Linked DNA regions of Neurospora crassa OR74A. The protein of the gene in region 2 purifies or fractionates together with the protein of the main gene of each other region. This does not show direct contact. Links are inferred from orthologs where the notes say so. Each region holds a gene or a part of one and is shown on either strand. Other genes may lie near its edges.

Region 1 (4,201 bases), on a different chromosome or scaffold from region 2:
GGAACCCATAACTGGGCTGAGTTCAGGGTGCTCTTCGAGGGGACGCTTCCTGTCAGTATCAGGAAGTTCCGGCGCGGCAGGACACGGCCAACGTGGGAGCAAGGAGCCTGGAACGCACCCAAGTACGGCCGGCTCATTAGCACACCGAACGATGCCGAGATGTTGGGAATAGCCATGGACGGCACCATGTATCACTTTACGCTGCTTGATCAGCACGCATTGCGTCTGTTGCGATTCATTGTCAACTTGTATAACCTCAGGGGGAAGAGAGACGAGGAAAGGCTGCTGCACGCGGAGCCGAACCTGGGTCCCACTGAGCCGTCGCATGTGGATGGTGATGTGCTGAAGACACTCTTGGATGCGGAAGTCTTGCAAGAGCTGATCAACACGGAGGAGCTGTTGGCGCGGTTCAAGAGCCTGTTGGATAAGTTGGATGGAGGCAAACATACTGCTGAGTGGATGGGCGAGGGCACTGCGGACCAGTATTTTGAACTGGCGTATAACGTGTTGATGTATTATCTTAGGCAAGTTTACTAAGTGCTTGGAATTCTAAGGCGGGGGGGGGGGGGGGGGGGAAGGGCAAGATACACTGGTAATAAACGGACGTGTGATCCAGTGTCGGCCTACAAGCCGTCCTGATGAATGCCTTGGTGGTGTAGCTACAGCATAATAGAAAAGCGAATAAAGAATATCACTAGCAACATCTGGTTAATGAAATACCCATTATGACAAGGTGAGGGAGTTGGCCTGCCCCCTTGGATGGAATATCGCACAAAATACACCAAAGTGGTAGAAAGTAAATACAGAAATTAGCCCAGCAAGTGCCCCACTTGTGCCTTAACAAGCAGGTGCCCCGCATTCTGCACCAACGAGTCGGTCACTGTACTTGTACGCGGGAGTGCAGGAGCTTCCACTTCTTTTTCACCACTGCACTGTACTGTACTGTATTTGTCTTGACTGCTGTCTCCAACAGTCTGTGCAGTGTCAAGTCAAGGGCTTGGTCAAAGCGACACCTCCTGGCTCCGGCACAAGTAAAAAAAAAAGTTTGGAGTGGCGATCCTTGTCTGGATTTTTCTGCTGAATCGAGACTCCTTTGACTTTGCGACTTCGACTACTTGGGATTGAGTTAGAGAACGGGACATGATTGCCGTTTTTTGACCGTAGACGGAGACAATACCAAACACTTTATACGGGTTGAAAGAAAGCGCATAGGCAGACGGTGTAAGTACAGGTACTGAGATAGGTACGTACCTGACCTCTATATAGTGTAGCAACAAACCAGAGCGGGATTCGATACAAAGAACAACGAAAGAAAAAAAAAAGATCCACGGTGCCAAGTACCTACAGTACCATCGATCCACTCTGCAGCACCACCACCGAAAAGTGATACAAGTGACAAGCCCTATCCCGTCGACAAGGGGGGACCTACAGCACCAAAAAAAGTACGCCGCCTGCCTTCTTTAGCAGCCAGCCATATCGCATATAACGGCCCAGTAGCCCCAGTCGGCCGCCCCACGAACCCACCACCAGAACCACCTAGCGAGCAACGAGGTCTTCACCCGGACTTCGACTTTCGTCACAAGGAGAGAAGGAGAGCCCATCAGGATCCTCTCCCCCGCCCATCCTACCGACGACATCCCCGCCTCAAGGTATTCCCCGGTCGACTACCAACAGTCCAGTTAGCCCAACATGGCGCCCAAGAAGAAGGGAAACAAGAAGGCCAACGATGACTGGGAGGCCGAGCTGGGCGAGTCCATCGCCCCCGTCAACAACAACGGCGCCGATGCTGCTGCCGCCTCTCCCGCTGCCGCCGACGACGAGGCCGCTTCCGGTGGTGGCGGTCTGATGGAGAGAATGCGCAAGGCCAAGGAGAAGCGCAAGAAGAAGGGTCTTGCCGACGACTGGGAGGCTGAGCTGGGCGAAGACGCTCCCGGCGCCGAGAAGCCCGCTGCCGCCGAGCCCGTCCCCGATCTGTCGGCCAAGGTCGCCGAGGAGGCCAACCTCGACGACGAGTTCGCTCTCCCCGAGAAGAAGGGCAAGGGTGGCAAGGGCAAGCAGCAGCAGCAGCAACAGAAGGCTGCTCCCGCCGCCGCCGCCAAGAAGGACGAGGATGCTGCCGATGAGGATGGCCCTAGGGTGTTGACCAAGGCCGAGAAGGAGAAGCTCAAGAAGGAGCGTGAGAAGCAGCGCAAGAAGGAGCAGGTGAGTACCCAGTCATTATCACTATTACCCACTAATGACTATACATACATCAGACACAAACGGAAGACTAACAACAACTTCTTTTCACTAAACAGGCTGCTGCTAAGAAGAAGGGCACCACACCCGCCGCCGCCGCCAAGGCCGAGCCCGCAAAGGAGGAGAAGAAGGCCGAAACCCCCAGCCCCGTCTCGACCCCCGCTTCCACTCCCGCCCCCGAAGCCGCCGCCGGTGGCAAGAAGAAGAAGCTCCCCGCCCACCTGCTCGCCCTCCAGAAGCAGCAGGAGGAGCTGCGCCGTCGCCAAGAGGAGGAGGCTAGGCTCCTCGCCGAGGAGAAGGCCAGGATAGAGGAGGAGGAGCGCGCCGCTGCCGAGGAGGCCAAGCGCAAGGAGGAGGAGCGCGCCCGCAAGAAGGAGAAGGAGAAGCAGAGGATCGAGCAGCTCAAGAAGGAGGGCAAGTTCATGACCAAGGCCCAGAAGGAGGAGAAGGCCCGCAACGAGAGGAAGCTGCAGCAGATGTTGGCGGCCGGTATCAAGGTCAACGCGCTCGAGGGTGAAGAGTCCAAGAAGAAGCCTGTCTACGACGACAAGAAGAAGAGGGCTGCTAACAAGAAGGTGAGTCTGTCCGGGATTCTTGCTACAATTACGGTATACTATGGACGGCGCTAACCAGTGTCTACTTGCTACAGAAGGACGAGGAAAAGGCTCTCGCCGAGGCCGCTGAGCGCGCAAGACTCGCCGCTGAGGCTCTGGTCAAGGAGCAAGAGGAGAAGGCCCGCATCGAGCGCGAGAAGGCCGAGAAGGAGGCTGCTGCCAAGGCTGAGGCCGCCAAGGCCGCCGCTGAGGACAGCGTCGACGAGGACTGGGAGGCCGCTGTTGCCTCTGACAAGGAGGATGTCAAGGACAGCTGGGACGCCGACTCCGACGAGGAGGAGGAGACCAAGAAGGAAGAGACCAAGAAGGAGGCTTCTAAGCCCGCCGCGGCCAACGGCAAGACTCAGGCCAAGAAGGAGGAGTCCGAGTCCGAGTCCGAGTCTGAGGAGGAATCTGAAGAGGAATCTTCTGAAGACGAGGAGGCTACCGCCAGGGAACTGGAGGAGGCCCGGAGGAAGAAGGAGGCTGCCGAGCGCCGCGAGAAGGCTCACCAGGCCGCTCTGGCTGCCAGGTCTGCGGACAACCTCCGCTCGCCTATTTGCTGTATTCTTGGTCACGTCGATACTGGTAAGACGAAGCTGCTCGACAAGATTCGTCAGACCAACGTCCAGGAGGGTGAAGCCGGTGGTATCACTCAGCAGATTGGTGCCACTTACTTCCCCGTTGAGGCCATCAAGCAGAAGACGCACGTCGTCAACAGGGACGGCAAGTTCGAGTTCAAGGTTCCCGGTCTTCTTATCATCGATACCCCCGGTCACGAGTCTTTCTCCAACTTGCGTTCGCGTGGTTCTTCGCTCTGCAACATCGCCATCTTGGTTGTCGATATCATGCACGGTCTCGAACCCCAGACTCTCGAGTCCATGAGACTGCTCCGTGAGAGGAAGACGCCCTTCATCGTCGCTCTCAACAAGATCGATCGTCTTTACGGCTGGAAGAAGATCGAGAACAACGGCTTCCAGGAGTCGTTGGCCCTCCAGAACAAGGCTGTCCAGAACGAGTTCAAGAACCGTCTCGAGCAGACCAAGCTCGCCTTCGCCGAGCAGGGTTTCAACTCGGAGCTCTTCTACCAGAACAAGTCCATGGCCAAATACGTCTCCTTGGTCCCCACCTCTGCCCACACCGGCGAGGGTATCCCCGACATGTTGAAGCTCATTGTCCAGCTTACCCAGGAGCGCATGGTTGGCTCTCTCATGTACCTCTCCGAGGTCCAGGCTACCGTTCTCGAAGTCAAGGCCATCGAGGGTTTCGGTATGACCATCGATGTCATTCTCACCAACGGTATCCTCAGGGAAGGTGACCGCATTATCCTATGTGGTACAGAAGGCGTCATCAAAACCAATATCAGAGCC
Region 2 (4,255 bases):
GTGTTGTTGGCGCTGAGGAAGATGAGGTTTGGGAAGATACAGACGTTGAGGAAGATGAAGATGAGGAGATGAGTTAAATGGCCCCAACTGGCTTCGTCTCGTTTGTCTTCTAACCATACCACCTTAAGCTGAGGCGTCTTTTTCAGGCAAACTTGTTATGGCATACCCTGGAGTCCGGTTAAGAGGGGTAAAAAGTAATGTTCAGGATTGGTTTTCACATGGGTTAGGTATACTTAGAGCGGATTAAAGCCTACAGCAAAGAATTAGATAATTTTGGCGAACGTGATAGAGGGCTTACGATTTGTCTAACGGTCCTAAACCGTGAGTTTCTGGACCTCTTCCACGGGGACGTCATCATCGCCTTCCAGGTCCTCATCACCCTTCCCAGCCAAGCCCCTCTCCCAGAGTTGTTTGCCCGTGAGCTTGACAGGCTCCTTTATCCTTGCCTTCTTCATCTCGGCCGCCTTTTCCTCTTCCTCCTTGATTCTCTGATCTTCCAGTTCCTGCAAGAAACTCTCCCTCCACTTCAAAAAGGTTTCGCGATTGACGGGAGTGCCCTGGAACTTCTTGTTCTCTTCGCGCTCCGCGGCAAGGGCGGCCTCCTCTTGCGCCTTGATGGCAGCGTCCCTCCGCTCTACTGCCAGTTGCTCCGCAGCATCCTTCAACGCCGACACAACAGTAAAGATCATGGCCATCCCCAAATTCTCTTCAATTGTCTCTTGGATACCTTCGAGCAGCTGGAACCGATCGTCGGCAATGTTTATGTACTGATGGGGCGGCGCATTTGGGGCGGACGCAAGCTCAAGGAAAGGTGGCTTGTCGGGATAGTCTTCGGGGTACCGTACGGTAAGTACCATGCTTGGTGTTTCTTCGGCATCATCATCAGGAATGTCCAGCGTGATAGTAATCCGGTATTCGGTATCGGAGATATCTAGACGAGTCGAGCTTGGGTTAGGACAGGCCCATGCCTGAACGGCAACCGATGTGGGCGAACAATCGAACCTTGGATCTCATCTGGGAAGATGGAGTCGAGGACTTCCCTCTCTTCAATTTGTTCTTCGCGGCCCATGATGTCCAATCGGTAGGGCGCCTTTCAAGTTTGCAGTGTGCTGGACGACATAAAACGTGAAAGACTCCTTCCAAAAGTGGGTGCTGGCAATGTTGACTTTCAGGCGTTTACTAACCTAGAGAAGAGGACGGGAGGGGCAACCAGACGGCATTGCAGTGACTGTAGCGTCAGGTGCAGGCCAAACTCCAAAACGCGAGCGCGGCTCAATCTATGGTGGGGGTCCTGCCTGGGTTCCTTGTTATATCAATGGACAGTTCTAGACAGTGTCGATCAAGTCGCCCCACCACAGAACCCCGGAAAGCTTCTCACCGCCCGGCAGATGCCAGGATGCGGATCCAGAAATTTTCAGCGGAAAACGTGCTACAGAATTTCCAATTCAGAGGCTTCAGATACAGGGCACTCCAAAGTTTCGGATTCCCGTCTGAATACCTGCACTTTCACATATTCCTGCTCGACCATCACCTTTGAACCAGCGCCCACCCAGTACGACGTCAACACGAGCCCCCCATACCTAGATCAATCCTTCATATCCCGGAGCAACACAGACATCGCATAGCATCAATGGCGACCAAGTCGTCTTCAGCAGCCGCTGCCGGCGGAAAGAGAAAGGCGTTCGGCAAGCATAACGAGGATGGCCGTACAAAAGCAGTAAAGACCACTTCTGGCAAGAAACACATCAAGGCCGAAGCCGAAGACAATGAATCCTCCGATGAAAGCTCAGACGCCGAGTTCCACACAGGAGAGACCACAACATCCACGCCCAATGAGTCCGGCAATGGCTCCAACGAGACCAAGTCTGGTACGTTGTCTCTCTTTACCATATCTGCCCCATGATGACCGAACCTCGCTCTGTTATTTGACTAACACAACGCAGGCACAAGCTCCAGGGAGGCGCACGCCAAGCAAAAACAACTCGCCCAAGAACGCAAGAACGCGAAGCCACTGGCCGATGAGGTGCACCGTACCAAGAAGCTGTGGGAGAAGCTCCGTCGCAAGTCGCATGTGCCTAAGGAGGAGCGCCAACAGCTCGTTGAGGAGTTGTTCACCATCATAACTGGCCGCATCAAGGACTTTGTCCTAAAGCACGATGCTGTCCGTGCCGTCCAGACCGCCGTCAAGTACGCCACCCCGGTTCAGCGTAGGCAGATTGCGAAGGAACTTCAAGGAACCTATGCGCAGCTCGCCGAGAGCAGGTATGCCAAGTTCCTGATCGGCAAGCTTCTGGTGCAGAACGACAAGGAGATCCGCGACATCATCGTCCCCGAGTTTTACGGCAAAGTTCGCAAGCTCATCAACCATGCTGAGGGTTCCTGGATTCTGGACGATGTCTACCGCGGTGTTGCGACCAAGGAGCAAAAGGCCAACCTCCTTCGCGAGTGGTACGGTCCCGAGTTTGCTCTGTTTAGGCAACCCAAGGGTACCGAGGTCACTGGCGATCTCTCCAAGATTTTGGCTGACGAGCCCAGCAAGAGGACAACGGCGATGAAGTACCTTTTTGACATGGCCAATGGCCTCATTCAAAAGAAAATGACTGGTTTCACCATGCTCCACGACGCTCTGTTGCAGTACTTCCTCAACCTTAACCCCGAAAGCGAAGAGTTCAAGGAGTTCTTTGAGACTATTAAGGAGGATGAGACCGGCGACTTGCTCAAAAACATGGCATTCACCAAGTCTGGCGCCCGCCTCGTGTGCTTGCTCCTTGCGCACGGAACCGCCAAGGACCGCAAGCAGCTGCTCAAGGCCTACAAGGACACCTACCAGCTCATGAGTGGTGACAATCACGCGCACGCGATCATCCTCGCCGCCTACGATCTCCTTGATGACACTGTCCTCACGTCCAAGACGATCTTCTCCGAGATTCTTGGCAAGAATGAAGAGAAGGATGCCGAGCACGTCATCTTTCTCGCTAACGACCTCAACGCGCGCACGACGGTATTATATCTCTTTGAGGGAATGTCCAAAGCGTTGTTCCCTGCCAGCCACGCCACCGACCTGGAGATTCTGAAGGAGATTCACGAGATCCGCACCAAGACCAGCAAGAAGGACGCCGAGGTTAGGCGTAAGGAGTTGGTGACGGCCATGTCGCCTCAGCTCCTTGCGGCCATCGCAAGCTCACCCGCCGACCTGGTGGCCACCTCTTTCGGTTGCCAGTTTGTTACTGATGTTTTGCTTTCGGCGACTGGAGATAAGAAGGCCGCGTTGGAGGCTATTGCCTCTACTGCCGGTGGCGATCCCAACGCTGAGGCGCCCAAGGATGCCTACCAAGCTCTTCCCCCTCACATCTCGACAACCATTCACGGTGGCCGCATGTTCAAGACACTGATTGCTGGCGGCCGGTTTGACAAGGCCACAGGCAGCATCCAGAAGGTCGACCCCCCGCTCAACTTCGCCGACCTTCTCTATCCCGTCATCAAGGACCACATTGTACAATGGGCCACCGGCCCTAGCTCTTGGACGGTGCTAGCTATGCTCGAGGCTTCCGACTTCTCATCGAAGAAGGAGCTCCTCAAGACCCTCAAGTCCAACAAGAAGGCCCTTATCAAGGCCGCAACTGAAGCACCGGCGTCGAAGAAGGAAGAGATGGAGGAGAAGCCAAAGGCTAAGAAGGGCAAGAATGCTTCTGCCCCCAAGGGCAACCAGGGCTCGAAGCTCCTTTTAGAGAAGCTCGATGCCTAGGTTGAGGAAATTGTAGGCGTCGCATGGCTATAGTGACAAAAGTGGACGGTAGCCACAGGTTGACTAAATACCCCTTTTATGTTGTTTACTTTGTCAATGCGATTTTGTTGGGCCCCGCGTAATTTGCGGTTGACTGATAGCCCTGTTTACAAGTCTGGACATGTTATATATGATTGCATAGAGAAAAGCTTGCTTCCAGACTTCCCTGATGGTTCAGATATGACGCTTGAAACAGGCCGTGGCCTACTTGGAGTGAGGTAAATCATAATTAACCAGACAGGAGCGAGACAACTTTCTTATATTCGCCATTCCGGACCTTGGAAGGCCTTATTATCATACGACCTTCACATTGAACCACTTGTACCACAATTTTCGAGGGACACAACCTCCCCATATCAACATGGCGTGTAGAGGCAAAGTGCTGTGCAAACATTTTGACTGCGGCACCAAGACCGACATATATCGGGTTCACCGTCACTTGATGGCTAAGTGCCGCTTGGAAACCGAATA
Region 3 (3,570 bases), about 6.0 Mb from region 2:
TGCCTTTTGCCATTACTTTTCTTGACGCCATTTGAAGAAACATAGCCGTGAACGACCAAAACCTTTTCAGGATGATCGTACCATGATAGCCCACCATCATCGAGACCCCCCGTCTTCAAGACTCGTTCCATCAACCTCACGATATTAGTTACCTCTCTAGTCCGAGTCTCTGGCCCGAGCGCCTGCACGGAACAACCCGCATCCAAACCTCCTTCTCTCACCACACCCTCACGGGAACATGCTTCCAACGAGTTCACGAGTCACGACAGTTTACTTGCATCCCAGGCTTCTCAGTCGCGGGAAACTGCATAGAACTTTTCGAAAATGCATTCCTAATGCCCGAGTCTCCGAACACTCCACATGTACATACATACATACAGCTGCGGACAGTTTAAGTTTCAGTTTCAGTGGCATGGGCTGGGCTTGACGAGAATGCAATCGCCCTTTTTCAAAACCGTTGAAAAGTAGGTAGGTAGCTTCCCGATGGCATACATACCTAGTGACGGCGGAGGCGGAGGCGGTGAAAGGAGGAGTGCCGAGGATCCATGGAACAACGGTAAAAGAAGCCACCACGTGAATGGGATGCGTTCCGGAGGTTGTACGATACATGCAAAGTATGGATGGGATGGGTATGGGCTGTTTGGACGTGATGGGGAAAGAGACCGGGGAGTCTCATCAGGTTGGATGGATATCCTACATTTATGGTCCAGTCAAGACGACCACGAGAGAGAGAGGGGACATGGCGAAATAGATCATTGTGAGAGGAGGGAAGCTATACTGAACTGCTTCATGGTGTTAGAGAACGACAGGCCAGGTAGGTCCGTAGTAGGTGGATGAGAGCATTCTTGATGCTCGCCGGGAGCAATGACTGGAGAAATCTGGTTTTATGTCAGAGTAGAACGGTTTTAAGGAATCTGTATTGTGAACCCGAAGTGTAGAAGAACACCATCCCAATATGTTGGCTTCGTGTATTCAGAATCTTCTCAAGTGTGCTGACCTTGTAAGAGTGATGCCAGAGTTTTGTGATGTTGCTGACTTGGCAATCATATTGCTCAATGCTTGTTTCCCAAAGAGCAAGTGATTATCGAGTGATCAGAACAAGAATATGGAACTCAAGGTTGACTCCATCACCAACCTAATTGTGATGAGACGGCAGAAATGGAAATGATTTTGGTTGCCGTTGCAGTGACGTTGAGGCGTGAAATGGAATGGAACCTAACAGCCCGTGAACCCCTGAACGACAGGCAGGGGAAAGCCAGCGCCCAGTGGACGAGCGGACAATCTTGACCCCACCTGCCCCACAAAATTTCGAGTTCAAGGTCTCCTCTTATCGATAAGCGCCGTTCTGGAATTTCTTTGCTCGACCATCACGACGACGATTTGCAGGTGAAGGAGACAGTCCCCAGTCCACATCACCACCTTGCGGTACCTATCCAATCCACCCACTACCGTCATCGCATAACCAGACCGCCAAAATGCTCCGCCAAGTGTACGTCAATCGATCATGACAATGGAACATACCGAACATTAGCTGACAGTTCTCTTCTCCGCACAGCAAGCCGCGGACAGCCCGTTCCAAGAGGGCGCTCGAGAAGCGTGCCCCCAAGGTCAATGAGAACCCCAAGACCGCCCTCTTCCTTCGCGGCACCACCTGCAGCCAAGTCGTATGTCACCTCCTCCATATCCTCTCCTCCTATATATGATGGTATCATCAAAATCTAATACAGTCCGCAGACCCAAGATGCCATGCAAGATCTCTACTCGCTGCGCCAAACCCACGCCAAGCGCTTCCACAAGAAGAACCCCGTCCACCCCTTCGAGGACGCCAGCTCCCTGACCTTCTTCTCTGAGAAGAACGACACCTCGCTCATCCTCTTCGGCTCCAGCAGCAAGAAGAGGCCCCACACCATCACCTTCTGCCGCACCTTCGACTACAAGATGCTCGACATGCTCGAGTTCTACCTCGACCCCGAGACCTTCCGCAGCATTGCCCAGTTCAAGACCAAGAAGGTGCCCGTAGGCACCAAGCCTTTGATGGTGTTCGCCGGTACTGCTTTGTATGTCCCCCGATTCTTGTGACAAAGAGGAAGGAGTAGTGAATGAACGTCAGCTAACCGAGTACCACAGCGAATCCCCCGTCCCCAACGCCTTCACCACCGCCAAATCCATGCTCATCGACTTCTTCCGCGGCGAGCCCTCAGACAAGATCGACGTTGAGGGTCTGCAGTACTGCGTTGTCGTTTCCGCCGACGAGCCCACTTCCTCCTCCACCGATCCCTCGGACCCCTCGACAAAACCCACCCTCCACCTGCGCGCCTACCTGATCCGCACCAAGCGTTCCGGCCAGAAGCTCCCCCGAGTCGAAGTCGAGGAGCACGGCCCCCGCATGGACTTCCGCCTCGGTCGCCTCCAGCAGCCCGACGCGGACATGCTCAAGGCTGCGATGCGCAAGCCCAAGACCAACGAGGAGCGCACCAAGAAGAACATCAGCATGGACAGCATCGGTGACAAGATTGGTAGGATCCATATGGGCAAGCTGGATCTCAGCGAGTTGCAGACGAGAAAGATGAAGGGTCTCAAGAGGAGCAGGGATGTGGTGGATGAGGACTTTGATGATGCGGATATGCCGATGGAGGGCGTCAAGGAGGTCAGTGACAGGATCGTGGGGCCGAGGAAGAAGAAGGCGAGGGATGTCGTTGAGTTTTGAGTTGAGCAAGAGTAGGGAGACGGGAGAATGAGGGGTTGAGGGGATGAAGAAGAAGGCAGGCAGGGAGGAGGTTTAATCTTTTTTCTCTCACAATTGTTGCGATCATCCACCAAGACACAAGGCGTTTTTGGGAGTTTTTAGTTTTATTACTTTACTTTATCTTATATCATTGGCTGCTGCTGCTCTTGGGGAAGATGAACATTCATGCCAGATCAGATCATCAACAGAAAAGAAGAGATGACCAAAGCTGGAGTTATTGATGGATGATGGGTTGTTCGTGAAGTTGCCTTGCCAAAGCTTGTAGACCTAGACATCTATCTAGCATATACGTGATATTTATACCAACCAACATATGGGACCATAGGATCAACCGATCGACCGGCCGAATTTGCCGCTACAGCTTTGTTTGGAAGAATCTAGTATTGTCAGCACTCGCTGCCTACTATCACATGGCACTCATGCTATTTCCCTCTTCTACCTGGATACCTTGCTACCTTGCTACCTTGCTACCTTGCTACCTTGCAACTATCTATAATCATAGAAAAAAGACAATGCCATAATCATGTACAACCATAGGAAAACCTATGAACTATTCCCTGTTTCGATCTTTGGTTTGGAAACGTCTATAAGGGGTGTCGGTGAGGCAGTCTGCAGACTGATTTAGTACAAAATTATGAAACCAAATATCCATGCCGAGAACGATTGATTAGTGTATATGTTGACTGACTACAAGGTTATGAATGAAATGCCTGTACCAGAAATTGTGTTTGTTAGAGCAGAGTTGTATCAATCAATGATGGCTTCCTTATGCTTGTCTATAAAGAGACTAAAGCCAGTCCCACCAAAGAGTTAAGACTCGAGAT
Region 4 (3,981 bases), on a different chromosome or scaffold from region 2:
TGCATCGTTGATGAACACATCTTGCAATTGCCGTAGTTGAATATTGCTGCGCATGCTCATATGAAAGAGCATTGCAGGTTCTTCTTGCTCAGCCAATAGGCTTCAACTTCTTTTTCTTTTTCTTATCCGAATCCCCAGACTTGCCCTTTTGAAACGCGCGCCAACTATCGATGCGCTGGTCTCTCGTCTTTTCCCAGTCCTCTTCGTGCTGCCTCTTGCGCTTGCGCTGCTCAGCCTCCTCGTCAGCTTTCCGCTGCTCGCGGCCTTCCTCCTGCATCTGCGCCTTGAGCTGTCTGCGTCGTCGCTGCTCGTTCTCGATCAGCACAAACTTGGTCTTTTCCTGCCACTTCTTTTCAAACTCGGCCGTCTTGAGCTCAGGGCTGTCGACCGTCCATTTGTTCTCGCGGATCAGCAGCATGCGCGCGTCCGCGATAGCTTCGTCTAGGTTCTTGCGGTGCTTCTCCTCCATTAGCTCCGTTTGCGCCTTCTTCAGTCTATCGAACGCCTCAGGCGCCAAGGGGTTTTTGGTCTTGTCGGGATGGATCAGCAGGGACTTTTTGCGGTAAGCAATCTTGATGTCGGATTCGGTCACGCCGGGCTTGAGGCCGAGGACTGAGTAGGCGTCGAGCCGGAAGGCTTTCAAGATACGGTCGATCTCGGCATCCTGTCGGAATTTAGATTGTCAGCAACTACTGAGTTGGGGATGTAAATGTTGGTATAGTTGGGCGTGGTTGTTGTCTGGCTTGCCTTCTCCCACTCCTTGGCTTCAGATTCCAGCACTTCAAGCGCATCCCGAGTGTCGGCAGGAGTTTCGTCTTTGACGTCTTTAACGTCCTTCACGTCCTTAGTGTCTGTCGCCATATTGTCGCCGGAATGGAGGGTCAATCTGGATGCTTGTTTGATCAATTACAAAGGGTTGATGGATAAGTAAGTTCGGTCTACCAAACGGAACGCAACTCCGGGGAAGTTTAGGGAAGTTCAGTAGTTGCGACTTGCGACACCTCCAGGAGCGCGGAAAGCACAGCTAACGCACGCCAGCGCTGCCAAGGCAAACCCACGGGCATGCAATGGGTGTACTTGATAAGCTGATAATGGATAAATGTCACATTGGCCCCACTAAAAAGTCGACCATCCAAAATTTACGGGTGACGGGCAGGCATTGATGGCTACAGTAGACAAGAGACCCCAAGACCCCATCATCATCACCAACCTAAACTCCAACCCACCCCGTCCGTCTTTGCATCTTCAATTAGCGATTCGTGCTGCAATTGGCAGCAACACAACCCTCGCTCACCATGCCTAGACGCGCAGCGTCCCCCACACCGTCCGAGAACGAGGTTGACATCGCGGGTGCTTTGTTCAACAACGACAGCGACTTCGAAGACAACAGCAGCAAGCACCACACCAAGAAGGGAGCTGTTACGAACAGCGGGCTTGACCTCGATTTCAACGATCTTCTCGGTAACGGCGATGATGGACTACCTAGCTTTAATGGCGAGGGCGATGATGACGAAGCCTTTATCGCTTCGCTCACACGGAGCTCGCAGAGAAAGTCCTCCAACATTCAGGGCAAATCAGTCAAGAAGGGTGGAGGTTTCCAGGCAATGGGTGCGTAGTCTTCCGTCCCATGGCATAAGTTGATGATGCTTGGGGCAGCTGCTGATACTCTCCTAGGTCTAAACGCCCATCTCCTCCGAGCGATTACCAGAAAAGGCTTCTCCGTCCCGACCCCCATTCAGCGCAAAGCGATCCCCCTGATTTTAGAAAGAAAAGATGTGGTCGGCATGGCCAGAACCGGTTCCGGAAAGACTGCAGCTTTCGTTATCCCCATGATTGAGAGGTTGAAGGGGCACAGTCCACGTGTTGGCTCGAGGGCGCTCATCATGTCTCCCTCGCGTGAACTTGCGTTGCAGACCCTCAAGGTCGTCAAGGAACTCGGCAGAGGTACCGATCTAAAGACCGTATTGCTCGTCGGTGGTGACAGCCTAGAAGAACAGTTTGGTATGATGGCGTCGAATCCCGATATTATCATCGCCACACCCGGTCGTTTCCTCCATCTCAAGGTTGAAATGAACCTCTCTTTGGCCTCCATCAAATACGTTGTCTTCGATGAAGCTGATCGCCTCTTCGAAATGGGTTTCGCTACTGAGTTGACCGAAATTCTTCACGCCCTCCCTCCTTCCAGACAGACGCTTCTTTTCTCTGCGACGCTCCCATCGTCCTTGGTCGAATTCGCCAGAGCCGGTCTTCAAGAGCCAAGCCTTGTCAGGTTGGATGCCGAAACCAAGGTGTCACCCGACCTCGAGAGTGCTTTCTTCGCAGTAAAGGGAGGTGAGAAGGAGGGTGCCCTTCTCCATCTTCTCCACGACGTCATCAAGGTCCCGCTGGGTCCGCCCGAGGGCACAAAGGAAGAGAGTGACGAATTGCAGGCGAGGAAAAGGAAACGCGAGTACAGGCCCAATCCTAAGGAGAAGCCGACGGAATACTCGACCATCATCTTCACAGCAACGAAACATCACGTCGAGTACATTGCGAACCTGTTGAAACTCGCAGGCTTTGCCGTGTCCTACGTTTACGGTTCGCTTGACCAGACGGCCCGTTTGATCCAAGTTGACAACTTCCGTCGGGGAAGAACACATATTCTCGTGGTTACCGATGTCGCCGCCCGTGGTATTGATATGCCTGCTCTCGCCAACGTCATCAACTACGATTTCCCATCTCAGCCCAAGATCTTTGTCCATCGTGTTGGTCGTACAGCTCGTGCGGGTCAGCGTGGTTGGGCCTATGGTTTGGTCCGTCAGTCAGACGTACCATATCTACTTGATCTACAGCTCTTCCTGGGAAGGAAACTTATTATCGGCCACGATCAGAAGAACCCTTCCTTCGCGGCAGACGTCGTAGTTGGAACACTAAAGAGAGATGGAGTGGATGTTAACATTGAGTGGGTTGAGAAGGCGCTCAAGGAGAGTGCCGATCTCAAGGCGCTGAAGGGTGTTGCCGCAAAGGCCGAGAAGCTCTACATGAAGACGAGGAATTCTGCGTCGAGCCAGAGCGCAAAGAGAGCCCGCGAAGTTACGCAGTCCAGGGGCTGGACACAGCTCCATCCTTTGTTTGGAGAAGAAGCCGCTGAAGCCCAGGCAGCTCGCGATGATCTTCTCAGCAGGATAAACCGCTTCAAGCCCCAGGAAACCATCTTTGAACTTGGCCCTAAGGGCAAGTCTAGCCGCAATAAGGCCGCGGAAGTTGTACGAAACATGCGTTCCAGATTCAAGGAGCGCAAGACTACCAACGACGAGGATGATGAGGACGTGGACATGGAAGATGCCGAGGGTAAACCTGACGGCGAGGAGACCAATGCGTTCGAAGACTTTGAGGATGAGGAAGAGGAGGGAGAGGCGGAAGAGGCAGAAGAGGCGGAAGCCAAGGAAGACCCATACGCCGACGACTCGGATTCGGAGATGGAGGTTACAGTATCCAGCAGCATGCATACGAAGAAGAAGGGTGGCCCGGTCAACTTCCAAGACCCCGAGATCTTCATGTCCTACACGCCTCGCACCACTAGCCTTGCGGAGGAGAAGGCTTACGGTGTTCACTCGGGCGGCTACAGCGGCAACAGCTTCGTCGAGGCCGCTCGCGACGCTACCATGGACCTGACCAACGACGAGAGTGCCAAGAACTTCGGTCTGCCCACGAAATCCAAGATGCGTTGGGACAAGCGTCACAGCAAGTACGTGGCGGTCGCCAACGATGAGGACGGCTCCAAGGGCGCCAAGATGATTCGTGGCGAGTCCGGTGTCAAGATTGCCGCCTCGTTCAAGAGCGGCCGCTTCGACCGGTGGCGCAAGGATAACCGTCTCGGCAAGTTGCCCACGATTGGCGAGACGGAGAAGTCGCAGCTCATCCGCAACTTCGGAGCCCAACCTGGCCAACCGCGGTACAAGCACAAGATGGAGAAGGCGCCCAAGGATGCGGACAAGTTCA
Region 5 (3,886 bases), on a different chromosome or scaffold from region 2:
GAACCAGAAGTTCTTGTCCGATTTTATTTTATGGGATGCCTTCTGGATTGTTTCCGTGATGTCTGTCCGTGGTGTTGAGCGAGTGGTGTTGAAGAATAGGGCCATGGGACCAGATTATATCATGAACATCAACTTCCGTGCTGATACCTCCCATTGGAACCATTCTCAGCCTCAGATCGTGGAAAGATGCGACCCAAGGCAGCAGTGAGCCAAAGACCGAACCACACTTGTGACTCGGTCAACTCCATGGAAAATGATCATGTTTTCATGTAATAAAGGTGTTGTTACTTCCGACGTGACCAAGATAGCATCCCGTCAGCCTTGAGAGAATATGAAGGATTCCGAAGGGGTTCATGAAACTTCACTTCAGCCAATGTAATGATGCGAGGATATTGATCTGCCATGTGTACTGTTATGTATCGACCCAGGGGCCTCTCGGCGAGTGACACTTCCAACCCAGGGACCTGGATTCGAAGCTGACTGGTACGTTCCAATCTTGCGCCCTGTATCCCGCAGACGGGGTAAGTTTCCAGCTGCCCCGAATTATCGATTATCGATCAAGGCAACCCGTAGCCTGACTATGGACTTGTGTCAAGGCCTTCGAAGTCGTCCGCTGGACGGGAACTGCAAAGTCCACCAGGCTATTGACTGGTCTGTCTCAATCCACTAAACCTTTGGAATAGAAATGTAACATAAGAAGAATACTGCAATGCCAGGATCTCAGAGGTACTGTACAGCGTTTGAATATCCGCAGTGTAAAGCAATGCCACCATGGACGACATCCAGAGCCTAATTCCGTGAGAGGGACAACGAACATGAAAGACCGACTACACGCGGTTACGTTGAGTATATCATGTCTATGACAGACTGGAGTAATTGCAGGAGAGGTGAAAGCGTTGTGATAATAAACGAATATCAGAGAAGAAAACAACATAATGCGGATTTGAAGATAAGAGGAAATGGACAAGTTCAGTTCTCGACTCTCGCAAGCAATTGGGGGCACAATTGGCGGGTTCCGGGGTTCGGCTGATCTGCAGTCAAAAGTGGGGTCAACACTGGGACGGCTGTAGCGCACAGACCAGGTTTTCATCAGGAGAAGAGGGCAGAATTGGCAAAATTTTCACCGCCTGGTGTAATCCCTGGTTATCGAACAAGCGATAAGAAAAAAATCCCCAGCGAAAGAGAAGGCAGAGGAAGGATAACAGATTCGACTCGCTGGGAATTTGAACGGAACCATTGCGACGCCCTTTTCCCAGAGTATCGCAACCACCCACCGACAGTACCAACCCCCCCACGCCATCACGATGGCTTCCGAATTTAGCAAGAAGCGCAAGCTCAAGGACGCCAAGATTGCGACCGAAGATGGCGCCGCCACCGACAAGAAGACCAAGAAGGTGAAGAAGGACAAGAAGGAGAAGAAGGCCGCCGAAGAGGTCGTCGAGGACGCCACCCCCGAGGAGGAGAACGATGCCCAAAAGGCGGAGGAACAACAAGATGGCGACGAGGTCATCCCCACCGGCAACGGGGACAAGGAGGACAGCGACGACAAGGACGCTGAGGCCGGCGACGAACTCACAAAGACCAACGACTCCCTCATCGCCCCGTCCATCGCGACCAATGCCACCGACTTCTCCGAGCTCAACCTGTCCGACAAGACCATGAAGGCCATTGCCGAAATGGGCTTCACCAAGATGACCGAGATCCAGAGGAGAGGTATCCCGCCTCTGCTCGCCGGCAAGGACGTCCTCGGTGCGGCCAAGACCGGTTCCGGCAAGACCCTCGCCTTCCTCATTCCCGCTATCGAGATGCTCAGCTCCCTGCGCTTCAAGCCGAGAAACGGTACCGGTGCCATTGTCGTCACTCCTACCCGCGAATTGGCTCTCCAGATCTTCGGCGTCGCCCGCGAGCTCATGAAGAACCACTCCCAAACATACGGTGTCGTCATCGGCGGTGCCAACCGTCGTGCTGAGGCCGAGAAGCTGGGCAAGGGCGTCAACCTGCTCATTGCTACTCCCGGTCGTCTGCTCGATCACCTGCAAAACACTCCCTTTGTGTTCAAGAACATGCGATCGCTCATCATCGACGAGGCCGACCGTATTCTCGAGATTGGTTTCGAGGACGAAATGCGCCAGATCATCAAGATCCTGCCCAAGGAGGACCGTCAGACCATGCTCTTCTCCGCCACACAAACCACCAAGGTTGAGGATCTCGCCCGTATCTCGCTCCGTCCCGGTCCTCTTTACGTCAACGTCGATGAGGAGAAGCAGTTCAGCACGGTCGAGGGTCTGGACCAAGGCTACGTTGTCGTCGACGCCGACAAGCGCTTCCTGCTCCTCTTCTCTTTCCTCAAGAAGATGCAGAAGAAGAAGGTCATTGTCTTCTTCTCGTCCTGCAACTCGGTCAAGTACTACTCCGAACTTCTCCAGTACATCGATCTTCAGGTTCTCGATCTCCACGGCAAGCAGAAGCAGCAGAAGCGCACAAACACCTTTTTCGAATTCTGCAACGCCAAGCAGGGCACCCTCATCTGCACGGACGTTGCCGCCCGTGGTCTCGACATCCCCGCCGTTGATTGGATCGTCCAGTTCGATCCTCCTGATGACCCGCGCGACTACATTCACCGCGTCGGTCGTACCGCCCGTGGTAACAACACCAAGGGCCGTTCGCTGCTCTTCCTCCAGCCCAACGAGTTGGGTTTCCTCGCCCATCTCAAGGCCGCCAAGGTCCCCGTTGTGGAATACGACTTCCCCAAGAGCAAGATCCTCAACGTTCAGTCCCAGCTGGAGAAGCTGATCGGCCAGAACTACTACCTTAACCAGAGCGCCAAGGACGGTTACAGGTCGTATCTCCACGCCTATGCTTCGCACAGTTTGCGGTCGGTGTTTGATATCCATAAGCTTGACTTGGTTAAGGTGGCCAAGGTATGTTTTCTCTTCTCTCCCTTTTTCTTCCCCAACACCAGAACAGTCACTAACGTACTACAAAAACAGTCCTTCGGCTTCTCCACCCCTCCCAGGGTAGACATCACCCTGGCCTCCAGCATGTCGCGTGACAAGAAGCAGACGAGCAGGAGAGCGTATGGTAGCCAGCCGAAGCAGAACCGTCACTAAGCGAGGCGGGATTCGGTGTTCGTGTTGTTGTTGTTGTTGGTTAGAATACGAAAAGGGGATGATGATTTGTCAATGTTCTCTCTTAGATATCCATCGGGCATTCGGTGTGGAGCATAGTGGGTGTTTTCTTTTGTGTTGCTACTTTGCTGTTTACTTGTTGTTGTTTGCGCAAGCTGCCAAGGCGTTTTTGGTTGAAAAGTAAAACTGGAGGGCTTCAAATCAACAATTAATTTTTACTTTACGTTGCTGCTCCGTTGGTGTGGTATTTCTGATGCTGTGCCGTTCGGTCATCTCGGGTGTCTTTCCATGTGAGGATGGAACATATTATCATGCTGACAGTTTCATTTGATAAATGGTAAGAAAGACCTTGAACAAACCACATCATATCTATTTTGCTACGCAATTGGAAAGATCGTGATGTTGATATGGCTGATGGAAAGCATGGAGGTCCTGAGTGTCACTCTCTATCAAGGATCCTTTGTAGGGATTCATAATCAATACCCAAATTAGGTAGCTGACAACCGGTACCAACTCAACACTAACCTCCAACAACAAAGCATGAAACAACCCACTGATGACAGTCTACTATTTCAGAACGACCTACATCGATACCTATTCTATCTGCAGCCCCAATCGACCCCCCGAACCTGAACTACATAACAGACGGAAACTCCCCGACACAAACCAACCTAACAACTTTACCAAATTTCACCTCGTCCCCAATATCCTCCCCTTCCCCTTTCCCAATATCCTCTCCTTTCCCTTCCCATCACTTC
Region 6 (4,271 bases), on a different chromosome or scaffold from region 2:
TAGCGGAGAGGAGGACAAGAAGGGCGGAATTATTCCCGGTCCTTCCTCCGGATCCGGCCCTGCAGCAAACGAGTCCAAGAACGGAGCCTCAACGAGCGGTAGCTTCAACGGCATCATGGGACAAAAGTCAGAAAGCAACTGATTACATCATCTGCCGTGTACCTCGAGCTTCTGCGCGAGAGACAAGACCCAGTGTATCTGCTTATAATACGGCAGAGGTAGGAGAACCCAAGATCCTGTCGATGTCATAATGGTTTTGCTTATGGATGGGAATGTACGTCGACTTGTTCGTTTTATGTGGTTTGAAAGAGTGGTCATCATTTCACACACATGGATGATGGAGACAGAAGGACCTGTGAAGCTCAAGATCTCATGGGTGCGAAATGCACTATTTTACCACGTTTTGACTGACCGGTAGGAGATGAGGAGGGAGAGGAAGGAGCGGATTCCGATGTACATACATTATTATGACTTGTGTTTGGAATAGAAGCGTGTGCATGTCATCTGTTGGAAAGTCGACAGCGAGAAGGGAATGGGAATATCCTCAAGAGGCGGAAATGAACTCGCTGCTTTGCCATAGAGGCCAGTTAGAGAACATGATTACGATTGTCGTTACACTCTTGGGATCGTAATTGCAACGTCGTGATCATTCCCGCACGGGATACGGTGTTATTGAAATGGCTGAACGGCGCCTCAGCCCGAAAAGTCAAGGAGATGACAGCTAAGTGTAGTGCTTTCGTGGTTATCCCTTGTAACCAGTACGCCTTTGACCATGCATGTCCGCCTAATCATGTAATCATGTTAAGCCAACCCACTTGTTTTACATCTACGACTGTTATAATGCCCTTGTCCACGAGCTCGACAAGCTAGAGGTATTGAGTCAAGAAGCAGATGGGGCATTTGACAATGTCGTCATGCTTCTGACAGGCAGCTGACAACCCCAATAGATGGAGATCTCGCTTTGATCCAAACAGCCCAACCTAGGCTATTGAAAGCCACAACAGCTTGCTCTCTTTGACACCGTGGGCGCGGACATCGAATTCGGAGAATCAGCCGTGTGATCAAGATGGAGTCAAGGGGGGGAACAACGAAGATTGGAGCTCAACATATTGTAACCGACCAGACCAAACAGAGCCGTTGCCACGCGCAGGCGCCGAAAAAATCCCATATCTCGTATTCCATCTGCGAACGTACCTACGGCGGCAGCGGCGACGATGACGGACTTATACGCAGAGCAATCAAAGTCACGTTTTCTGCCACCTCAACAGGACTTTACCTTGTCATCAATGTGCCATTAGTGAATGGCCCGCCAAGCTGACTAAGTGTACGGGGTCGCTCTTGTGGGGTGGATTGTTCTGGGCTTGGCTGGTCATCGCTGGTTGGCTGGGCGGGCTCGAGGAACAGGAAGGCGGACATGCCCGCCGGAAAGGGCTCGCGCAAAAGTTAGGGCTCCGCTGCACTTGAGGCCCGTGCACGGTCCAATCCACACCACTCACACAAAAATTTGGCTGGTCCAATTTCTCTGGCGATACTTCTTGATTTTGTTTTCGCGGTAGTGAACTTTTTCCCACTCGACCATCAACAACCCGGGTACTTGGGATCATCAGCAGTCATGTCTCACCGTAGTAAGTAACGCCTCATCGCCGTCGCTGTCGCCGCCAGACATACGGTCTTTGTCGATTTCTACACGCAATCCCGACTTCGAGAGAATCGATGGAGCAGCTTTCCCGAGAGACGGTCGTCGCGATATCGAAATTTTCGACTTTTTGGCGACTGGATTTTGGGGAGCATGCGTGATCACGACTTGGACCTCATGGCAACCTGAACGTCCTTCATGCTGACTCGATGCTTCAGAGTACGAGGCTCCCCGCCACGGTTCGCTGGCCTACCTTCCCCGCAAGCGCGCGGCCCGCCACAGGGGAAAGGTCAAGTCGTAAGTCAAGCTTATCTTCTGGTACCATCGACAACACTATCGCTAGTAGTTTGGATCTTTCGCGATCGGAACTTGGGCAATAGGGCATGCGAACAGAGAGGCTGACCAGTTGCGCGTTCATGACAGGTTCCCTAAGGATGATGCCAAGAAGCCCGTCCACCTTACCGCCGCCATGGGCTACAAGGCCGGCATGACCACCATCGTCCGCGACCTCGACCGCCCCGGCGCCAAGGCTCACAAGAAGGAGGTCGTTGAGGCTGTGACCATCATTGATACCCCTCCTGTACGTACAACGCAGCCCGCTTGGCTCTTTTTGTGTCAATGGCTAACATCTCTCGCAGATGATCGTTGTGGGTCTGGTCGGCGTAAGTCTTTGATCCTGTCCAGCTGCCGTATATGGCCTACCGCGACCGTGTGATCTAACCCCGATATTAGTACATCGAGACTCCCCGCGGTCTCCGCTCCCTCACCACCGTCTGGGCTGAGCACTTGTCCGACGAGGTCAAGCGCCGCTTCTACAAGAACTGGTACAAGTCCAAGAAGAAGGCCTTCACCAAGTACGTCAAGAAGCACTCCGACAACAACGGTGCCGCCATCACCCGCGAGCTCGAGCGCATCAAGAAGTACTGCACTGTCGTCCGTGTTCTTGCCCACACCCAGATCCGCAAGACTCCCCTCAAGCAGAAGAAGGCCCACCTTATGGAGATCCAGATCAACGGTGGCTCCGTCGCCGACAAGGTCGAGTTCGGCCACGGCCTCTTCGAGAAGCCCGTCTCGATCGACTCCATCTTCGAGAAGGACGAGGTTATCGACGTCATTGCCGTTACCAAGGGTCACGGTTTCACCGGTGTCACCGCTCGTTGGGGCACCAAGAAGCTTCCTCGCAAGACCCACAAGGGTCTCCGCAAGGTCGCCTGTATCGGTGCCTGGCATCCTTCCCACGTCCAGTGGACTGTTGCTCGCGCTGGTCAGGCCGGTTACCACCACCGTACCTCGGTCAACCACAAGATCTACCGCATTGGCAAGGGCGATGCTGAGGACTCTGCTGCCACCGAGGTCGATGTCACCAAGAAGAAGATCACCCCGTATGTATCCCCGTCTGTCTTGAAGAAGTTGAAGAGCGCAAAACTAACCCTGTTCCAGCATGGGTGGCTTCGTCCGCTATGGCGAGATCAACAACGACTTCGTCATGGTCAAGGGCTCCGTTCCCGGTGTCAAGAAGAGAGTCATGACTCTCCGCAAGTCCATGTTCGTCCACACCTCCCGCAAGGCCCTCGAGAAGGTCGAGCTCAAGTGGATCGACACCTCCTCGGAGTTCGGTCATGGTGCTTTCCAGACCCCTGCCGAGAAGAAGCAGTTCCAGGGTACCCTCAAGAAGGACCTCGCTGCCAGCTCGTAAATTGGCTGCTGCAGTTGATCTCCTTGTTAGTCGGGTTGCATTGGTGTCACGGTTTTTTCGTTGCTCTTTCGGGTCGGTCGGGAAATGGGACTATACCTAGCATTTACGGCTTAATAAAAAGCTGTTGAAGAACAATGAAACGTTGATCCAGTGTACTGCCAAAGAGAGTGTCCTTCAGCAAAATGTGTTTTATGTGATGTGAACACGTGAAGAATCTGGTGGTTGGCACAGATTCGATGGACACTGTTGTTTATAACTTCGTATGTTTTATTCCAGGACTTTTGTCTTGGGCTGCTATGCCCCCACTAGTGTAGGGTAATGACTTGAAGGGACCAGTGGCATATAGATATACCCAATTTGATAGTCTTGAATGTAGCATGTCGTGTGATTCTCGTTGCCTGTTCTGCTGCGCTGGACGTGTTCGATTTATCAACTGTTCATGAGCTTCCACCTGTCATTCACTACCCGTCTCTATGCTTTCTCTTCCTGATATTGTTCATCTGCGATACCACGACTGATAATGATATCACTTTTCGACCATCTTCTCATATTCCTAGTCGTGCTTTTGGGAGTCCTCACGGCGTACATGGCTGTTGTTACTTGTTGAGGGCATATCAAACCCCGATCGACCTTGCAAGCAGCCCATCTCCTGATTGGTTGACGCTTCCACTCTTAGGCCAACGTGAGATCCGCCATTCCTAATTGGTTTCAGCTACTGCAGGTTACATCATCGGACGTTCGTTCGCATCCCACCACGCAGCCCACCCACCTGACTGATCATTGTCATCGTCGTCCCGCCCAACGAAACGTTCTCAACCTAAACACAACAACATAATGGTTTGAACTTCCCTAACCCTGACCCAGATCTGTTCTAGTTGCTTCTTCCATCCTCAACACAAACTCTTTGTCGACAATCCGCAAAGCTAATTACCCGGCTCT
Region 7 (3,953 bases), on a different chromosome or scaffold from region 2:
GGCCTGTGACGTCGGGCGCACCATCGCTGATGACCAGATCCACTGGGTGTGAGGCTTGCGGGTTCATGGTGCTTGGGTCGAAATCGGGGTCCAACGCCTTAAGCAAAAGCGGAACGGTGGCGGGATGTGTGATGTCGGCTCGGAGAGTGATGATTCCTGGCAGAGGGCTGATGGGCTGCAAGTCGATGGACACAATCTTGACCTGTTCCCTGGGAGCCGGCGTGCTCTCCTGAGTCGCCTGCACCCTCTGAACCTCATCCTGAGCGTCTTGCTTCTCGGGAAAGACGTTGAGCATCTGTTGGCGGAACTTGGCCTCACGGTCTTGCCAAGCACACCGGCCGAACTTCTCTCCCTTGATGAGAACCCTCGATAGAACCTGAGACCAGGAACCGGGGGCAGCGCAGAGATCGACCACACGAGTGACATTTTCAAACAAGTTGAATTCTGATGGGAACGCTCGGTGTTAGCGGTGATACACTTCTTTACATTACATATGCAATAAACAGTTCTTACCTTCGTCTAGTTGAAGAAGCTTGAAGGCACTTCTGGCACGCCATCCTTGCTCCTTTGCAAGGCGATAGTAGGCATCACGCTTGTCTTTTGATGATTTCCCCATTTTGAATGCTTCGCTCTCACTTACTTGTGTCGAATAATGAAGTGCCGCGAGTGGGTGACGAGAGTGAATGACGGGAGCTTGTGAAAGAGACTGGGCCCCACTTTTGCCTGGTGACGGGTCGCTGTCGCTGGGCGCCGATTTGGGTCCGTCTGCTGCAAATAGTCACCGCCAAAAAGGATTCTGCCGGCATAATTATCGAGCACCTTGGCGGCCCCAGCACTCGCACACCATAGACGCGCATACTTGGAGGGAAGGACTTTGGCGATAAACGAAAGCTTTGAATCATAAGATGTCGTCTCATGTTTTGTTTCCTCCATCAAAGTCAGACTGATTGTTTCCACGTCCTATTCTGTCGGCACCCTCTACACTACAAGCTTGTTAGCCAGACCTGGAATAGGTAGGCGGTGTCATTTACAGCACATGGGCTAGCCTGTTCCAGCTAGAGGCTGCTGCAACCCAGCTGCAAGGTGGAGCCAAAATTTCCATTTCACTTTTACAGCCATTTTCACTGAGCAGTGTCAACAACACCCTTCAAATCAAAGTTCATCAGTGCATCCAACAACCTCAAGCACTCAAACCCGACACCCTTTTCCACCCGAAAACGACGACATATTCACACCATGGCCGTCGATAAGAAGCGCAAGAACACAAAAGCCCCCGCCAGCGGGCCAAAGCGCCGCAAGACGCAACCGTCGTCTAAGCAGATCAAGCGACCTGTTTCCGTTGATGCGCTGGCATGGAAGACGGTCGACATTCCTGAAATGTTCGATGATGCGGAGGGTTTCTTTGGTTTGGAGGAAATTACCGGTGTTGACATTGTAAAGGATGGCGATGTTGTCAAGTTCGTAAGTTGGGTCATGGATGATGACAGCGACAGGACATGAATGAACTCACATATGTCTTTAGATGGCTGCGGTCCCCAAGTCGGAGGCAGAGGTAGAAGATGACGGCGAAGAGTTTGGTGGTTTCGACGACGAAGAGACACCGAAACCTGCTGGAAATGCGGACCAGGAAGTCAAGACATCAGAAACCAAGGCCGAAGCTGCGAGTACTCCAGCCAAGGAAAAGAAGGCCTCCAAGGACCAGAGGAAGCCAAAGGAGCAGCAAAAGCAGCAAAAGCAGCAAAAGCAACAGCCAAAGAAGGAGCAGCCAAATAAGGCAGCGAATAAGAAGAACGCCGAGGACAAGAAGAAGGCCCGCAAGAACGAGAAAACTACTGTCGAGCCGAAGGACCCCGAACTAGAAACCGATCTTTTCACCAAACTGGAGGAGCTTCCTGAGCCTGAAGAGGAGGAAATTGATATGTCCGAATGGGTGCCACTCGATTTGTCACCTCGTATGATCTCGTCCATCGCCAAACTCAGGTTCTCCAAGCCCACCGTGATTCAGTCCAAGGCTATTCCCGAGATCATGGCTGGTCACGACGTTATCGGAAAAGCATCCACCGGTTCGGGAAAGACGTTGGCATTCGGAATTCCCGTCATCGAAAGCTGGTTGAGCGCTGCTGAGACGAGGAAGCAGAACAAGGAAGAGAGAAAGGGCGCTACAGCGCTGATTTTGTCACCCACCAGAGAACTTGCCCAGCAGATCAGAGACCATCTTCAAGCGCTTTGCAAAGGTCTTCCTACAGCACCTTACATTTGCTCGGTTCTTGGTGGCATGGCCGTACAGAAGCAAAAACGACAGCTCCAGGTCGCCGATATCGTCATTGCGACCCCGGGCAGAATGTGGGAGGTTATGAGCTCAGATAACTCTGTGCTCGCTTCTCTGAGGAACATCTCCTTCCTCGTGTTGGATGAGGCAGATAGACTTCTTAAGGACGGTCACTTCAAGGAGGCCGAGGAGATTTTCAAGGCTCTTGACAGGCCACCGGTGGAAGAGAACAATGAGGATCAGAAGATGGGCGGTACTGATGAGGAGGGACAGGAAGAGGAAGAAGAGGACAGCGAGGAGGAGGAGGAGGAGGAGGAAGAGCACGTCAACAAGAGGCAGACTCTCATTTTCTCCGCCACGTTCAACAAGAACTTGCAGCAAAAGTTGGCCGGAAAATCCAAGTTCAAGGCGACGAGCACCCAGGACATGGAGTATCTTCTCCAGAAGCTGAACTTCCGCGAAACCCCCAAGTTTGTCGACGCCAATCCCGTCCACCAAATGGCCGAGAACCTCAAGGAGGGTCTCATTATGTGCGGCGACATGGAGAAGGATCTCTACCTCTATGCCACTCTCATGCTCCAGCCCACACGGCGCGCGCTTGTATTCACCAACTCGGTCAACTCTGTCCGTCGCCTAACCCCCCTCCTCGAGAACCTCAATCTTCCAGCCTTCCCTCTCCACTCGGGCATGATCCAGCAAGCCCGTCTGCGCTCTATCGACCGCTTCAAGGCCAACGAAGGCGCAAAGAAAAAGAACGGTTCTGCAGCTATCCTGGTCGCTACCGATGTTGCTGCCCGTGGTCTCGATATCCCCGACGTCGACCTCGTCATCCACTACCACGTCCCGCGCGCCGCCGAGGACTACGTGCACCGCTCCGGCCGTACCGCCCGTGCCTCCAACTCGGGCACGAGCATCCTGCTCTGCGGGCCCAAAGAAGCCGTGCCGACGCAGCGCCTCGTTGCCAAGGTGCACGCCCAGGCCGAGGTCAAGGCCGGCAACTCGGGCAACAACACCAAGAAGCTCGTTTCGAGCGGACTTCGCACCATCGATATCGACCGGCGCATCGTCGCCAAGTTGCGGGAGCGCGTCGACTTGGCCAAGAAGATCGCGGATGCGGTGCAGGCCAAGACCATGGGTGGAAAAGAGGACGATTGGATGAAGAAGGCGGCAGAGGACTTGGGCGTCGACTATGACTCGGAAGAGCTTGAGAAGGCGGGCAAGTGGGGTGGCAAGGGTAGCTCCAAGAAGCAGAAGCAGAAGGAGGCACAGCAGATGAGCAAGGGCGAGTTGGCGTCGCTGAGGGCTGCGTTGAGAGACCTCTTGAGCAAGAGGATCAACACGGGCGTCAGCGAGAGGTACCTCACTGGACTGGATGTTAGTGAGCTGCTGAAGGGCGAGCAGGGGCTGTTTTTGGGCCAGGTGGACGGATTGGGCTTGGATGATTAGACGCAGATTCATGGCTGTGGTATTGCATGTTTCCTTTCACGGTTAACCATTTAATTCTGAGCGGTGATCTACATATAGTATCCGGTCTCTTCACTCTGAGTAAGATGTCTTGTATTTTTTCTCTCGTGTTTTGTTCTATAAGGCACTAAAAGAACAGTTCACGTCTTGGACTGTGCTGCCAAGTGAGACAGGGTCCATGGGTCCATCAAGGTCTCCATCTTCCCCATGGCCTAGATTC

What was found.
Region 1: the proteins of NCU09380 (region 2) and NCU05270 purify together in Saccharomyces cerevisiae (affinity purification with mass spectrometry; 3 studies listed by BioGRID, with this or other methods). This does not show direct contact. The link is inferred for Neurospora crassa OR74A from reciprocal best matches to the Saccharomyces cerevisiae genes PUF6 and FUN12.
Region 3: the proteins of NCU09380 (region 2) and NCU08595 purify together in Saccharomyces cerevisiae (affinity purification with mass spectrometry; 3 studies listed by BioGRID). This does not show direct contact. The link is inferred for Neurospora crassa OR74A from reciprocal best matches to the Saccharomyces cerevisiae genes PUF6 and RPF2.
Region 4: the proteins of NCU09380 (region 2) and NCU07712 purify together in Saccharomyces cerevisiae (affinity purification with mass spectrometry; 5 studies listed by BioGRID, with this or other methods). This does not show direct contact. The link is inferred for Neurospora crassa OR74A from reciprocal best matches to the Saccharomyces cerevisiae genes PUF6 and DBP10.
Region 5: the proteins of NCU09380 (region 2) and NCU09349 purify together in Saccharomyces cerevisiae (affinity purification with mass spectrometry; 4 studies listed by BioGRID). This does not show direct contact. The link is inferred for Neurospora crassa OR74A from reciprocal best matches to the Saccharomyces cerevisiae genes PUF6 and HAS1.
Region 6: the proteins of NCU09380 (region 2) and NCU06843 purify together in Saccharomyces cerevisiae (affinity purification with mass spectrometry; 3 studies listed by BioGRID, with this or other methods). This does not show direct contact. The link is inferred for Neurospora crassa OR74A from reciprocal best matches to the Saccharomyces cerevisiae genes PUF6 and RPL3.
Region 7: the proteins of NCU09380 (region 2) and NCU04041 purify together in Saccharomyces cerevisiae (affinity purification with mass spectrometry; 4 studies listed by BioGRID, with this or other methods). This does not show direct contact. The link is inferred for Neurospora crassa OR74A from reciprocal best matches to the Saccharomyces cerevisiae genes PUF6 and MAK5.

The regions. Positions count from the first base shown.
Region 1 is NC_026504.1:5,514,274-5,518,474, forward strand, and holds the start of NCU05270 (mitochondrial translation initiation factor IF-2), read left to right. Parts: upstream 1-1,401; 5' UTR 1,402-1,689; coding exon 1,690-2,202; intron 2,203-2,297; coding exon 2,298-2,813; intron 2,814-2,887; coding exon 2,888-4,201. Other genes in the region: NCU05271 (hypothetical protein), read left to right, coding at 1-537. UniProt on the Saccharomyces cerevisiae protein: Plays a role in translation initiation. Translational GTPase that catalyzes the joining of the 40S and 60S subunits to form the 80S initiation complex with the initiator methionine-tRNA in the P-site base paired to the start codon.
Region 2 is NC_026501.1:3,514,555-3,518,809, forward strand, and holds NCU09380 (pumilio domain-containing protein), read left to right. Parts: upstream 1-1,455; 5' UTR 1,456-1,630; coding exon 1,631-1,868; intron 1,869-1,943; coding exon 1,944-3,745; 3' UTR 3,746-3,971; downstream 3,972-4,255. Other genes in the region: NCU09382 (TPR domain-containing protein), read left to right, coding at 1-77; NCU09381 (RWD domain-containing protein), read right to left, coding at 315-931, 1,003-1,069. UniProt on the Saccharomyces cerevisiae protein: RNA-binding protein involved in post-transcriptional regulation. Component of the ASH1 mRNP which transports the ASH1 mRNA to the distal tip of the bud, where the ASH1 protein is translated and targeted to the daughter cell nucleus.
Region 3 is NC_026501.1:9,517,966-9,521,535, reverse strand, and holds NCU08595 (ribosome biogenesis protein), read left to right. Parts: upstream 1-1,373; 5' UTR 1,374-1,475; coding exon 1,476-1,489; intron 1,490-1,555; coding exon 1,556-1,664; intron 1,665-1,734; coding exon 1,735-2,057; intron 2,058-2,127; coding exon 2,128-2,707; 3' UTR 2,708-3,070; downstream 3,071-3,570. UniProt on the Saccharomyces cerevisiae protein: Required for biogenesis of the 60S ribosomal subunit.
Region 4 is NC_026504.1:2,110,014-2,113,994, forward strand, and holds the start of NCU07712 (ATP-dependent RNA helicase dbp-10), read left to right. Parts: upstream 1-1,181; 5' UTR 1,182-1,295; coding exon 1,296-1,608; intron 1,609-1,674; coding exon 1,675-3,981. Other genes in the region: NCU07713 (DnaJ domain-containing protein), read right to left, coding at 89-664, 748-861. UniProt on the Saccharomyces cerevisiae protein: ATP-binding RNA helicase involved in the biogenesis of 60S ribosomal subunits and is required for the normal formation of 25S and 5.8S rRNAs.
Region 5 is NC_026502.1:4,196,723-4,200,608, forward strand, and holds NCU09349 (ATP-dependent RNA helicase has-1), read left to right. Parts: upstream 1-1,161; 5' UTR 1,162-1,304; coding exon 1,305-2,921; intron 2,922-2,990; coding exon 2,991-3,110; 3' UTR 3,111-3,386; downstream 3,387-3,886. UniProt on the Saccharomyces cerevisiae protein: ATP-dependent RNA helicase involved in 40S ribosomal subunit biogenesis. Required for the processing and cleavage of 35S pre-rRNA at sites A0, A1, and A2, leading to mature 18S rRNA.
Region 6 is NC_026502.1:1,783,778-1,788,048, reverse strand, and holds NCU06843 (60S ribosomal protein L3), read left to right. Parts: upstream 1-1,483; 5' UTR 1,484-1,612; coding exon 1,613-1,625; intron 1,626-1,854; coding exon 1,855-1,933; intron 1,934-2,059; coding exon 2,060-2,216; intron 2,217-2,274; coding exon 2,275-2,298; intron 2,299-2,368; coding exon 2,369-3,018; intron 3,019-3,076; coding exon 3,077-3,332; 3' UTR 3,333-3,771; downstream 3,772-4,271. Other genes in the region: RCM-1, read left to right, coding at 1-142; NCU06844 (hypothetical protein), read left to right, coding at 4,167-4,169. UniProt on the Saccharomyces cerevisiae protein: Component of the ribosome, a large ribonucleoprotein complex responsible for the synthesis of proteins in the cell.
Region 7 is NC_026506.1:2,535,253-2,539,205, forward strand, and holds NCU04041 (ATP-dependent RNA helicase mak-5), read left to right. Parts: upstream 1-1,153; 5' UTR 1,154-1,236; coding exon 1,237-1,461; intron 1,462-1,522; coding exon 1,523-3,715; 3' UTR 3,716-3,851; downstream 3,852-3,953. Other genes in the region: NCU04040 (tRNA (uridine-2'-O-)-methyltransferase TRM7), read right to left, coding at 1-444, 514-616. UniProt on the Saccharomyces cerevisiae protein: ATP-binding RNA helicase involved in the biogenesis of 60S ribosomal subunits and is required for the normal formation of 25S and 5.8S rRNAs. Required for the maintenance of dsRNA killer plasmid.